Mus musculus: one gene and its partner. The protein of the gene in region 2 interacts with the protein of the main gene of each other region in a pairwise test. Links are inferred from orthologs where the notes say so. Each region holds a gene or a part of one and is shown on either strand. Other genes may lie near its edges.

Region 1 (5,861 bases), on a different chromosome or scaffold from region 2:
AGTTCTTTATTGTGCTTATTCTTCTCAGCTTCCAGATGAACAGCCAGATGCTCTGACTGTGTTTTGCTTTCTTGTAAACTTTTTTCCAAAGAGGTTTCCAATTCAAGAATTCTCTGTTAATGAAAATTGGGTGTATTTTACTAACAGCATACTTGTTTACTAGTGATGATAAAAGACTGCAGGGCCTATCTAAAGGCTGTTCTTTGAATGCCTCACATAGCAGACCAAACATAAGAAAAGGGCGACAATCTGCTGTGCTCAGTCACCAATGCAGTCATGAACACACTCAGCTCTGCACTTCCTCTATTTACCATCCCATAATGATCTCAGTATCTCTAGTCAAAAAATTCTAATGGGATAGTCAAAAAGAAAATAAACCACAAAACAAATAATGATAGCAAGCTTGGTAGGAAGATGGATCTCCACACTCTATGCTTTTAGGTTTATAATAGTATTTTATTACTTTTATAACAATTTTGAGGGGAAAAAAAATCTCAGTTTTCTACCCCCAAAGGCAAATACTTAAAAGCTTTTAAAATTTTATTATTCATATACACATAAGTGTATATACACATATAAGTGCATATACACATAAGTGGGGGGTGAGGAGGAGGAGGAGGAAGAAGAGGAGGAAGAGGAAGAGGAGGAAGAAGAGGATGAGGAGGAGGAAGAACAGGACATGAGGAGGAAGAGGAAGAAGAAGAGGAGAAAGAAGAAAAGGAAGAGGAGGAGGAAGAGGAGGAGGGTGCAGCTGTGGCTGCAGAGGGCAGGGAAGCAGGAAGCTGGCTCTCTTTCTGCACTGTGGTTGGGGATCAGGTTCAGATGGCCAGGACTGTACAGCAAACACATTATCCTGAGCTGTCTCATCACCAACCTGCACAGTTTTGTTTTGTTTTTCCTTAAAGAATATTCTTAACCATATTTAACCAAAGGTTGCTGTTCTCTCACAGAATATTAATTCTTCACTCTGAACAGCGTCAGACTGGAACAGTCCTAAGACACTGACAGGTCCAGCCCCTTGGTGACTGCAGAGATGCACTGCAGAGACAGCAGTGCAGATTCAGCCGCGTCAATGCCATCTCACCGCACCACGTCAGTGTCTGAACTGTCCGTAAAGGAAGAGCAAAGATGAACTTACAACTATGGGAAGTGTGACTGTTGCATGGCCTAACAAGACTGACAGATCTAAATACCGTCAGCACGTTCCTGTGGCAGGTCACACATCTCTAACAGTGACAAGAAAAGGGCAGAAAACTACATACACTTACACTATAACAAATACTTCATTCCAGGACTAGAGAAATGTCTTCAGGGACACATGCATCCCTACACACACCCCCAGCTCTGGGGACAGTCTCACAGACACACACATCCCCAGCTCTAGGGACAGTCTCACAGACACACACACACCCCAGCTCTAGGGACAGTCTCACAGACACACACACACCCCAGCTCTGGGGACAGTCTCACAGACACACACACCCCCAGCTCTGGGGACAGTCTCACAGACACACACACCCCCAGCTCTGGGGACAGTCTCACAGACACACACACCCCCAGCTCTGGGGACAGTCTCACAGACACACACATCCCCAGCTCTGGGGACAGTCTCACAGACACACACATCCCCAGCTCTAGGGACAGTCTCACAGACACACACACACCCCAGCTCTGGGGACAGTCTCACAAACACACACACCCCCAGCTCTGGGGACAGTCTCACAGACACACACACCCCCAGCTCTGGGGACAGTCTCACAGACACACACACCCCCAGCTCTGGGGACAGTCTCACAGACACACACATCCCCAGCTCTGGGGACAGTCTCACAGACACACACACCCCCAGCTCTGGGGACAGTCTCACAGACACACACACACCCAGCTCTGGGGACAGTCTCACAGACACACACACACCCAGCTCTGGGGACAGTCTCACAGACACACACACCCCCAGCTCTGGGGACAGTCTCACAGACATACACACACCCAGCTCTGGGGACAGTCTCACAGACACACACACCCCCAGCTCTGGGGACAGTCTCACAGACACACACATCCCCAGCTCTGGAGCCCACACAGCACGTGAACTTACGGTTCGGTAAGCCTCTGCTTCTTGCCCAAGTTCCTGGAGTTTATTTTCACTCTCTGTAAGGATGGCTTTTTTCTGCAGCTCTAACTCTTCTAAAGCCAAGGATTCTTGCTGCTCTTTTTCTTGGGTGAGCTTCAAATATTCTGATCGACTCTTTTCCTGTGCCAAAAACAATTGATACCACCTCAATCCCACATAAATCCCAAAGCAACACCTCATCTGCAGAACCCGGGCTCTGAGGCTTTCCAGTGTAGCCAGCTCTGAAAATTCTCCATTCTTATACAGGACAACACCCATGGCAAAGGTTACAAGCACTTTTAACATTAAACTAGCACACTAAACTGTAATTTCTAGATTATACTCTAACTTTAGGCATGTTTCTGTATACTGTTGCTTAAAAAGCAAGCATTGATGTGGTACTTAGACATACTATATATAGCATGGTGACACACAGGGCTGTACAAAATGATTTCATATTACAGGATAGACTGAAATATGAAATATTTAGATAGAATTATTCACAATCTTGATTTCAGTATTTTTAGGTATATTAATAGAAGAAATTTTCAAGTCTGCTGAATTAAGAAGCTAGAGCTCCATGTGTATGTATGCATTTATCTTTTTTTCCCTCCACTTGAAATACAGCTGAATGTGTCAATTCCCAGAAAGCACCGTGGACGCCAGTGCGTGGACACAGCAGCCCTTCCTTTACATTCCACATTGTTCTCTGATCTCCATGCAACTACTTATATTTTATGCTGAAATAAATATTCTTATAAGTACCTTAATAGTTATAATTTTGTGTTCTGTGGTTTTTTGTTTTGTTTTGTTTTTGTTTATTTGTTTTTTCCTTGCTTTGAGACAAGGTTTCTCTGTGTAGCACTGACTATCCTGGATCTCACTATATAGACCAGACTGGCCTTAAAATCAGAGATTCCCCTGCCTCTGCTGAGATCAAAGGCATGCAGCACCACCCCTGGGCAGAGTTTCCGCCACACTATTTTCCTAGCCGTGTATAAGTGTACTCTAAATCCAAGTGCCAATTTTGCTTCCAGAGATTAGAAAACGTGTTGCCTCAGGCAAGAATCAATATGGCTTGAGATGCTCAGACAACTTAGAGTCAGACCCAGGTAGCATTTCCAATCCTTTTGCATGAAACATGTTTAAAAATCATATATATTATTTTATGGATGATAATTTCATGTACTTTCTTGATAATTTCATGAAAACAACTTTGTGGTAACTCACATAAAAGGTTCTCACAAATGAGGAAAATTACCTTTTGTTTTAAATTTTCAAGTCACATCCTTTTCAGCAAAAGTCTGAATCTTTGCTTTTCTCACTATTATTTTGTTAGTTCAGTAGTTTGTTAGTTCTTTAACTCTATTTTTTAAACATCATATAAATTCCAAGTTTTGCTCTTTAAACTTCGGTTCAGAATAAATTTTGGGAAGCCAGTATGCTAGGCTCTGAGACAACTGTGCCGTCGTCATCTCACGCACAGACTGATGGACCCCTGACCTCATGTGACGAGTACTGAACTAGTGGCCCCCTTGGGTTCCTCCTGTCCTTTTATCCACCACCTCACCTGAGCAGACGGCAGCTCTGAGGTGTACTAGACAGCACTTACGAGAGCTATTCTCATCTGCTCCTGCAGCTCCCTTTCCCGGGCCTCAAGCCTCCTGCTCAGCTCCTGCTCTTTGCTGGCGAGCTCCTCTGCATGCAGCTTCTGGAGTGCAGCAACTTGTTCTTCTGAGTTCTTCTGAAAAGAACCAAAAGGTAAATGCAAACTGCCATAAAAGCCACGTAACTACAGCCAGAAGCCACACACCTCACAGCTAAGTCGCGCTGCTGACTGGCGATTAACCACACTAGCAACTTCTTAAGAGGAGACAAGAATCAGCTCCAAAGTCAGAGCAGTTAAATGAAAGCCCAAACGGTTGGCTCTTGATTAATGAAACTAAGGGCTGCGCGGGGTCCAGTGGGGCTTGAAGCTACATTTTCATAACCTGTACTAGATCCCCAGTGGTTAGGATAAGGAGAGGGGAGGGGTGGAAGACAGGAGACAGGAGACGAGGAAGGCTGCTCTCAAGACAGACCCTCACTATGGTCAGGGTGTGCCAGGCTTTCCAGGAAATCATTATTTGTTTAAGAGTTATTGGCTTTGTTCTTTCTCAGAAAGGAAAACTCAATTTTACAAAACTATCAATGTTCCCTACATAAATCTAAAAAGTTAATGTAATGAAACACAAAAAGAATGAGGGAGGCCATTGAGACTAAACTTACATGTTACAAGAGCCAAAAATTAGGGTCCACAGAGAGACAGCTCAGTGGTTAGGAATACCCCATCACCACTACCAAAACAAACAGTGGGGAAGGAGTGGCAGGCAGGGAGCAGCTCCTCAGACACAGTGACAATGCAGTGACAACACAGCCGTCCACTGTCGCAGTCAAGGTGGGGTGAGGAGGACACCTGCCAGCATCTTACATATTTACTATGTAATAGTGATAACGACATGTCAGGGGACAAAGGCTATACTATTAAATACTATTAAATTAGGGTGTGAAAGCAGTCCCCTGGCAAAAAACTAAGTTGAATTTCAAGCTTATTCCTCATACCAAATAAAGTCCAATCAGAGCAAGGGTATAACCATAAGCAAATGGATGCATCCTAGTCAAAAGGAAACAACAGGCCTAGAACAACAATAATCCATAAAGCACGGTGATTCACGACTGTAACCCTGGAATTTGGGAGGCTGACGCAGGGCAGGCACTTAGGGGCTGGCTTAGCCTACATGGTGAATCCCTCCTCAAACCCCAAATAAAAACACATAAAGGACAAAAGAAAAACCAGTGTCTCAGAATTGGGCATGTATGTGTTTTAGTTTTTGTAATAGCTGGGACTGAGCCCAGTCTTGCAAACACTAGGAGTGTGCCCTGGCACGAGCTTACAGCCACAGTCCCACAGGTGTGCTAGAACCTCTGAGGTGCTCAGCACTTTATGGCACGTGCAGCCAAACTTACAACCTGAGTTTGAGCCCTGGCGTCCATGTAGTGTAAGAGAACCAATTCCATCACTACTACATCCTCTATCGCACACCTGTACATGAACACTAAACAAAAAAATGTAATTAAAATTAAATAACCTTATTTAAGTAACCTTAAATACCAAGGAAGAAAACTTTCTTTTCAACAGAAAACAGAGTGTTTGAATAAGTTCCTTCTATCTAAAAGGCTAGCTCCCACTATCAGGAAAACGTTTCTACAATAAAAAGAATTTGGGCCAAAGCTGTGTATATCCAGTAACACAAATGAGGAGTCACTAAATGAGTAGAATGGAGACGTAGTTAAGGAAAGCATGGAATGACGGGAAGAGCTGGAGTGGGAACAGGGGTCGGGCGCCATCATTCATTAATTCATTCATTGCCTGTACTCTTGGTAGTAAGACTGGAAACCTATGGGATTTTGAAAATTACTTATTGTTTCTTTTCCTTGTGTATCTGTGTGCTCTGTGTGTGTAGTGCTTGCACGTGAGTGTGGGTATGGCTACCCTCCCCCCCCCACACACACAAATGTATATCCAGTAACAGGTCATAATTGATACTTTCCTACACGTTTATAGTCCCATAGAAGGAAGTAAATGTGTAAACTTATTTAATTTCCCCCTCTGTACACTTATGTGCAATAAGGATATTGCATGGCACTGGGAGTCTTCCTCTCAGCCTACAAGTTACTGCACTGAACCTTGAAGTCTGCAGGTTACAGTCAG
Region 2 (6,443 bases):
GAGTTCTTTATGTCTACCAAATACATAATGAAGGATTTGATCTGCCTCATAGATAGGTTGACACATCACACTAACTGGTCAGTAACATTGAATTCCTAGTGCATGTCACTCTCACTTGGGGATAGCTCTTAGGAATACTCAGTATACCCAGGGAATCTTTCCTTTCAGCAGAGCTTGTATCAACACACTTTATTATTCAATTTTATATAAAGGAAGAAGTGGCCTGAAGTAAGATGTTTTTATCTCTCATTAATTCAGCCAATATCCACAATCATCAACACTATAGCATCACCAATCATCATTACTCCAATCTACAAATCCTTTCTCAGCACCCTCAGGCTGAAGGCAGAACTACAGAATCCACGGACACTCCTGGATCACTCAGTGTCCCATTGCTGGGAAGAGACACCGTGACCACAGCAACTCTCATAAAGGAAGACATTTAGCTGGAACTTGCTTACAGGTTGAGAGGTTTAGCCCATCGCCATCATGTCTGGGCATCATTTTGAAGTGATGTGTGTAGAGATTTAAAACCCAACTGAGGGCATGAGCAGATGAGTATAGATATAATATAATTTAATATAAATATTATATAATCATTATTATTATTGCTGTTCAGTTATCCAAACAGAAATATCAGAGGCAGAGAAGTGGATACAAAAATCTGGAGTTCAGGAGTTCAGAAGAGTCTAGCCTTCTGGAATACCACTCACTTCTCAACTGTGAGGAGAGCTGTAACATAGGTACAGGGGGTTGGGGGGAAGAACAAAATGGAAGACCAAATGACAACAAAAACACCCAAATGGAATTGTCAGCTAAGATGTCCAAGGCAAACATTCTGGAGCTCAGGAGGAAACACCAGGGAAGTCTATCCAAATATATAGAACTAGATCCTGTGAGAGTCATCTCAAGTAACCCCGACTAGAAGCTGATCATTGTAGCAACAAACATGTCCCTATTCATTATTTCTCCTAGGTCTCCCAAAATTTTATCTTAAGATAAACGGTGCAAATACTGTGCACAGCTCATCTGTCATATTCTTAAGAAATTCATGCCGAGCGGTGGTGGTGCACACCTTTAATCCCAGCACTTGGGAGGAAGAGGCAGGTGGATTTCTGAGTTCGAGGCCAGCTTGGTCTACAAAGTGAGCTCCAGGACAGCCAGGGCTACACAGAGAAACCCTGTCTCGAAAAACAAAACAACAACAACAACAAAAAATTCATCCTATGTGCCTAGTCCTGCAGTGACTTGATGTCACAGGGTGGGTTGGTATCCAAGAAGGTCTCCACCCCACCCCTTCTCAGAAGAGAAGGGAAGCAGAGAATGAGGGAGAGGCTGGGAAGGAGGGTGAGAATTGGAAGGAGGGGTAGGCTAAGATCCACATGCAAAGTAAATAAATAAATGGAAAAAAAACAGCAAAGAAAAAAAGAAGAAAGAAAACCATCCTGGTAGAGTATGTTATCCTAACTTCGCAATCACCTTTTCTAGTCCTACCTCATTGCGAACTCCTTCAGTATAAAAAAATTGAATGGCTTTTTTTAATTTTTATTTTTTAACCTGGAAATCAAAATTTGCAGCACTCAATCCCTGCCAGGGATGCGGCCTAAATGAATCACTTGTCTTATAGCTCGAACTCTCGGCATCATTTATGTTTCTCACACTGAAACAAGCAAGCATCACCTTTAAAACAAAGATTCTATTTCAGTATCTGATGTGAGGTGGCATGGGTGAAGTTTCTAAAAAAACACCCAAGAAGAAGGTCTGTGCAGTCAGGGTAGAGTATGAAGTGGGTAAATGACCAAAGCTGTTTATGGGAATTAAGTGTCCAGAACTTAAGGGTACTAGTGACATCTATCCCAGAGAATCTGACTTAACTCACTAAAGTTCTTCCAAGAATCTAGTTAGCAGGGTTTTACATATGCACAGGAGAGAACATTTAATGCGCTCTCAAATGAGTTGCTACAAATATTAGAATGGGTACGTCTACAAAAAGGAAACATCACCATTATCAACTCCTCAAATCAGCCTATGCTAACAGTTCTCAACATTCCTAATGCTGCAACCTTTTAATACCTTTCCTCATGTTGCAGTGGGTCCCAACTATTAAATTATTTAATTTCTACTTTAAAACTGTAATTTTGCTACTGTTATCAATTGTAATGCAAATATCTGATATATTGGATATCTGCTATATGACCACTATGAAGGAAGGGGTCGTTTGACCCGCAGGTTGAGAATCACTGGCCTATGTGCTTGCAAGCCCCGCCCCTGTCTTTTCCACGCCCACAGTCCGCCTCTGCCCCATCCATCAAAGCGCTGTTCCGCCTCCTCCAAGTCCATTGGCCAATCTGTTTTTCCTCTACTGTCTCCATTTCCGGCTCCACAGGGTCAACTTCCGGTGCAGAGAGACACGTGACCGGATACGGGAAGTGGCGGGTTCTGGCCGCTGCTTTTCCCTGTTCAATGAAAAGTGCTTCAAAGCTGCTATTGCTGCCGGCGCCCTTCCTGAGTCCGTCTTGGAGCACCAACCTCGGCCGGCCGGCTGGCCTCGCGGTAAGCTTCCGGCCGGGGACCTGCGGTCTTGGAGGTGGTAGCCTAAGTGGAGGCAGTGTTGCATCCGCGCCGGGTCGGCCACTCCCCAGTGACCCGGCCCACCCACCCTGCTCCACTTCGGGGCTGCAGAACCCGGGCTGCGTCCTTCCTTAGCCGGTGCTGTCCGGGGCTCTGGGAAAAGGCGGAGCCGGGAGGCAGCCAAGTCTCTGTCCACAGTTCCGCCCATCCGGGACAGATTTCATTTTTGTCCTACTAGCGTGGCCTGGAAGAGAAAGACGTGACCTGGGCTTCTGCTGGTCCGAATCAATATAACATGTCCTTATAAATCTTCTAAGTGCATTGCCCAGCCTCTGAACAGTTTTTTTTTCTGGATGACATGTCTCCGAGTTGAGATGTCACTGCAGTACATGGGCCCAACCCACTAAGGCACTAGCATGGACACACAGTGTAACGATGGCCCTATTAAGCTGAAGGAAGTATGTATGTACACAATGAACCGAGGTTAGCTGCCTCTGTAACGGGCAGCCTTGAGGTTTTAGAAGGCGAAGATCTAAAGAGAACCCAGAATATGGGCGTGGTTTTTAGACCTGGGAAATAGTTGTGAAGGCCACTATTAATAATACTGGCATAATGTAAAGTTCAGTATAAACACTGGAGAATTCATCTCTAGATCCAAAGAAGACTGACTATCACAATGCTACGTCAACCCGTTCATGTCTTAAAGATTCTCCATTATACCCCAGAGTGCTGCCTGGCACTTAGTGAATAGCAATATTTATATTAGCAATATAATATAGCAATATAGTAGCAATGCTTATGTCTAATTCCTTCATGAGTTATGACCAGCCCTCTGCTGTTTTTACCGTTTACCATGTACTATGGTGAATATTGGCCATTGCTAATGGTTCTTTTGGCCAGCTTTTACTATTGCAATCAAGCAGGTTACGCCAAGAGCTTGTTAGTGAGTACCCAACACACAAACCTGTGATAGAGCACCCCTCCTCCTCCTACTACTCAAGAGATGGCTGTGGAGATCTAGGAGATGACACTCATGTCCCCATTAGATAGCAAGCATTTGCCTCGTAAATACAGTAAGGGCTCTATACATTTACATGAAAAGAGCCGTGTGGATTGAGACTTTCATTGAGTCAACTAAATACAAATGGAGAAATGTAGGTTTGAATAAGGAAAAGATAGTGGTATGCCCTGCATGGGAAAGTGCTTAAGCAAAGAAAGAACAGAGTGTTCTGAGTGCAAGGCATGTCTTGAGAAAGCTGGGTTGCTGTTGACCAGGTGTGTGGTAGAATGAGAACTGCTTTAAAGTTATTTACTAGTTTTTCAGGGAACTTGTAGAAGCCTAAAGAAAAAAGAAAGAGATAACGGGTGCTATTACTTAAAGGCAGTAAGTCTTGGTGGCTGTGTTGGCAGCAAGTTGTGGGGGAGAGGGATAGGATATGTAGATGAAGAAGTTACAGGATATGCTCACAGATTTCACGTTGGCATGGAGGAAGCAATCAATTACAGTAGAGTTTGAATCTGGGTATTCTCTTACAGATGCGAAAGTTGGAAAGAGGTAACTCTGAGGGAGCGATCCCTGGTCTGTTATTGAGTGGGACAGTATTCCCTAAAATGTTTACTGAGTGTGCACTGTGTGCCTCTCGGCAAATGCTAGGAATATAAAGATGGATAAGATAAGGTTCTTGCCAACAGAGAACTACTTTTCGGAGTAGTAGAGGCTAGACGGCGCTAGCTATAAAACACAGGTTGGAAGAGCTGTAGTCAGCAGAGGTAAGATGGGGACAGAAGAGGAGTTTTTCTAGGAGAGAAGGCTTCAAAGAAGAGGCAGTGTGTTATCAGAATCCTTGAGGGCAAGTTGGAATTTGCAGTGACAAGAATTTGAGAAAAAGGGAAACAGTGAACAAAGCCCAGAGACAGTTTCCATAGCGTAAGATGGAGTAGAGCTTTAATGTCACATCCGGGCCCTAGGACATATTAAGGGGCATTGTACTGGCTGGGTTTGGGTGTCATCTTGACACAGGCTGGAGTTATCACAGAGAAAGGAGCTTCAGTTGGGGAAATGCCTCCGTGAGATCCAGCTGTAAGGCATTTTCTCAATTAGTGATCAAGGATGGGAGGGCCCATTGTGGGTGGTGCCATCCCTGGGCTGGTAGTCTTGGGTTCTATAAGAAGGTAAGCTAAGCAAGCCAGTAAGTAACATCCCTCCATGGCCTCTGCATCAGCTCCTGCTTCCGGACTTGCTTGAGTTCCAGTCCTGACTTCCTTTCGTGATCAACAGCAATTTGGAAGTATAAGCTGAATAAACCCTTTCCTCCCCAACTTGCTTCTTTGTCTGATGTTTGTGCAGGAAGAGAACCCCTGAGTAATACAGGCGTGCTGGCTAGTTTTAGGTCATTGTGGCACAAGCTAGAGTCATCTGAAAGGGAACCTCAGTTGAGAAGATGCCTCCAAAAAGATCTAGCTGAAGGGCATTTTTAAAGTTAGTGTATGATGGGGGCTGGCTCATAATGGTAGTTGCATGCTTGACTTGTAGAAGAAAGTGCCGGACTGTTTTCTAAAGCCTCCGAACCATTTGTGATCCTCCCAGCTGTGTGGGAGTTTCCTTCATCAGTGCTGCTGTGTGTCCATTGGGATTTTAGCTCTCCCAACAGTTGAAAGCAGTAGCTATCTCACTGTGGATTTCAGTCGCATTTCCCAGGTGGATAATGGTATGGAATATTTGGGGTTTCTGGTATGCATCTTTGCAAAAACCCAAGGGCAACTGCACATGGTGTTCTTCAGTGTACCATTCATACCCCTTTTCTTGGACATGGTGTCTCACCAGATTGGCATTCCACCAATGGGTGAAGCTGTCTGGTCAGTGAACTCCAGGGATCTGCCTGTCTCTGCTTCCCCACTGCTTGCTATGTGAGCTCTAGAAATTAAACAAGATTGGACTTGTGTCCTCCACGTACTAGGAAACACTTTACCAACAGAGCTGTTTCCTCAGCTCTGTAATGAATAATTTTTAGTATATTTATTGGTTATTTGTACTTGTGTGTGTGTGCTTGCATATTTGTATATATGGGTAGTATCTTGTGTGTGTGTGTGTGTGTGTGTGTGTATATATATATATACTGGTTTCTCTGATTTTATTTCCAAACTTGAAGCCCCATGCTTTTATGTTGTAGATGATTAATATATTTATGTATTAAGAATGTATCGTTCAAGTCATAAATGGAACACTTTATGAGGGAGGGCAGTGGTTTTGAGAATTATTCTAAATGTTTTTCAGCTGAGAAAAGATGACAGCAATCAAGCATGCGCTGCAGAGAGATATCTTCACACCAAATGATGAACGCCTGCTGAGCATCGTGAATGTCTGCAAAGCTGGCAAGAAGAAGAAGAACTGTTTTCTGTGTGCCACAGGTAGGTGGTTATTAAGCAAAAATATGTACTTGATACCTTCCTTAGGTCATACTCTCATTGTTTCTATAACTGGGAGAGTTATTGGGCTGATAAGTTAATTTTAATTGTTAATATTGATTGCTGGATGCTGTAAGAGAATTTTTATAGTGTATGTCTAAGGTGGCTGACAAGGGAAAAGGAGGACTCCGGGTGCGCAGTGTAGGGTGACAACAGCTCTTCTTTACCCCATTCCTTTCTGCTCTCCAGTGGTCAGTGTCTGGGATCCTGCATCTTACCACATTCCCCATGTGTAATTTCCATTTACTTGTCTTTAAACGTTTAATAAATTGAATTAAAATTCCTTGTGACCCTTCCCATTCAGCAGTAGATTCATGAGAATTTCGTTTTATTCTGGAGTTTTTATTGTTTTGTTTTTGAGACATGATTTCACTCTGTATTTCCAGCTGGCCTGGAGTTTATATTGC

Evidence for each region.
Region 1: the proteins of Exoc1 (region 2) and Golga4 interact in binary tests that used the Homo sapiens proteins (3 or more experiments, as listed by UniProt). The link is inferred for Mus musculus from reciprocal best matches to the Homo sapiens genes EXOC1 and GOLGA4.

Annotation. Positions count from the first base shown.
Region 1 is NC_000075.6:118,549,825-118,555,685, reverse strand, and holds part of Golga4 (golgin subfamily A member 4), read right to left. Parts: intron 3,855-5,861; coding exon 3,723-3,854; intron 2,252-3,722; coding exon 2,096-2,251; intron 114-2,095; coding exon 1-113. UniProt on the Homo sapiens protein: Involved in vesicular trafficking at the Golgi apparatus level. May play a role in delivery of transport vesicles containing GPI-linked proteins from the trans-Golgi network through its interaction with MACF1. Involved in endosome-to-Golgi trafficking.
Region 2 is NC_000071.6:76,526,910-76,533,352, forward strand, and holds the start of Exoc1 (exocyst complex component 1), read left to right. Parts: upstream 1-2,401; 5' UTR 2,402-2,553; intron 2,554-5,845; 5' UTR 5,846-5,855; coding exon 5,856-5,979; intron 5,980-6,443.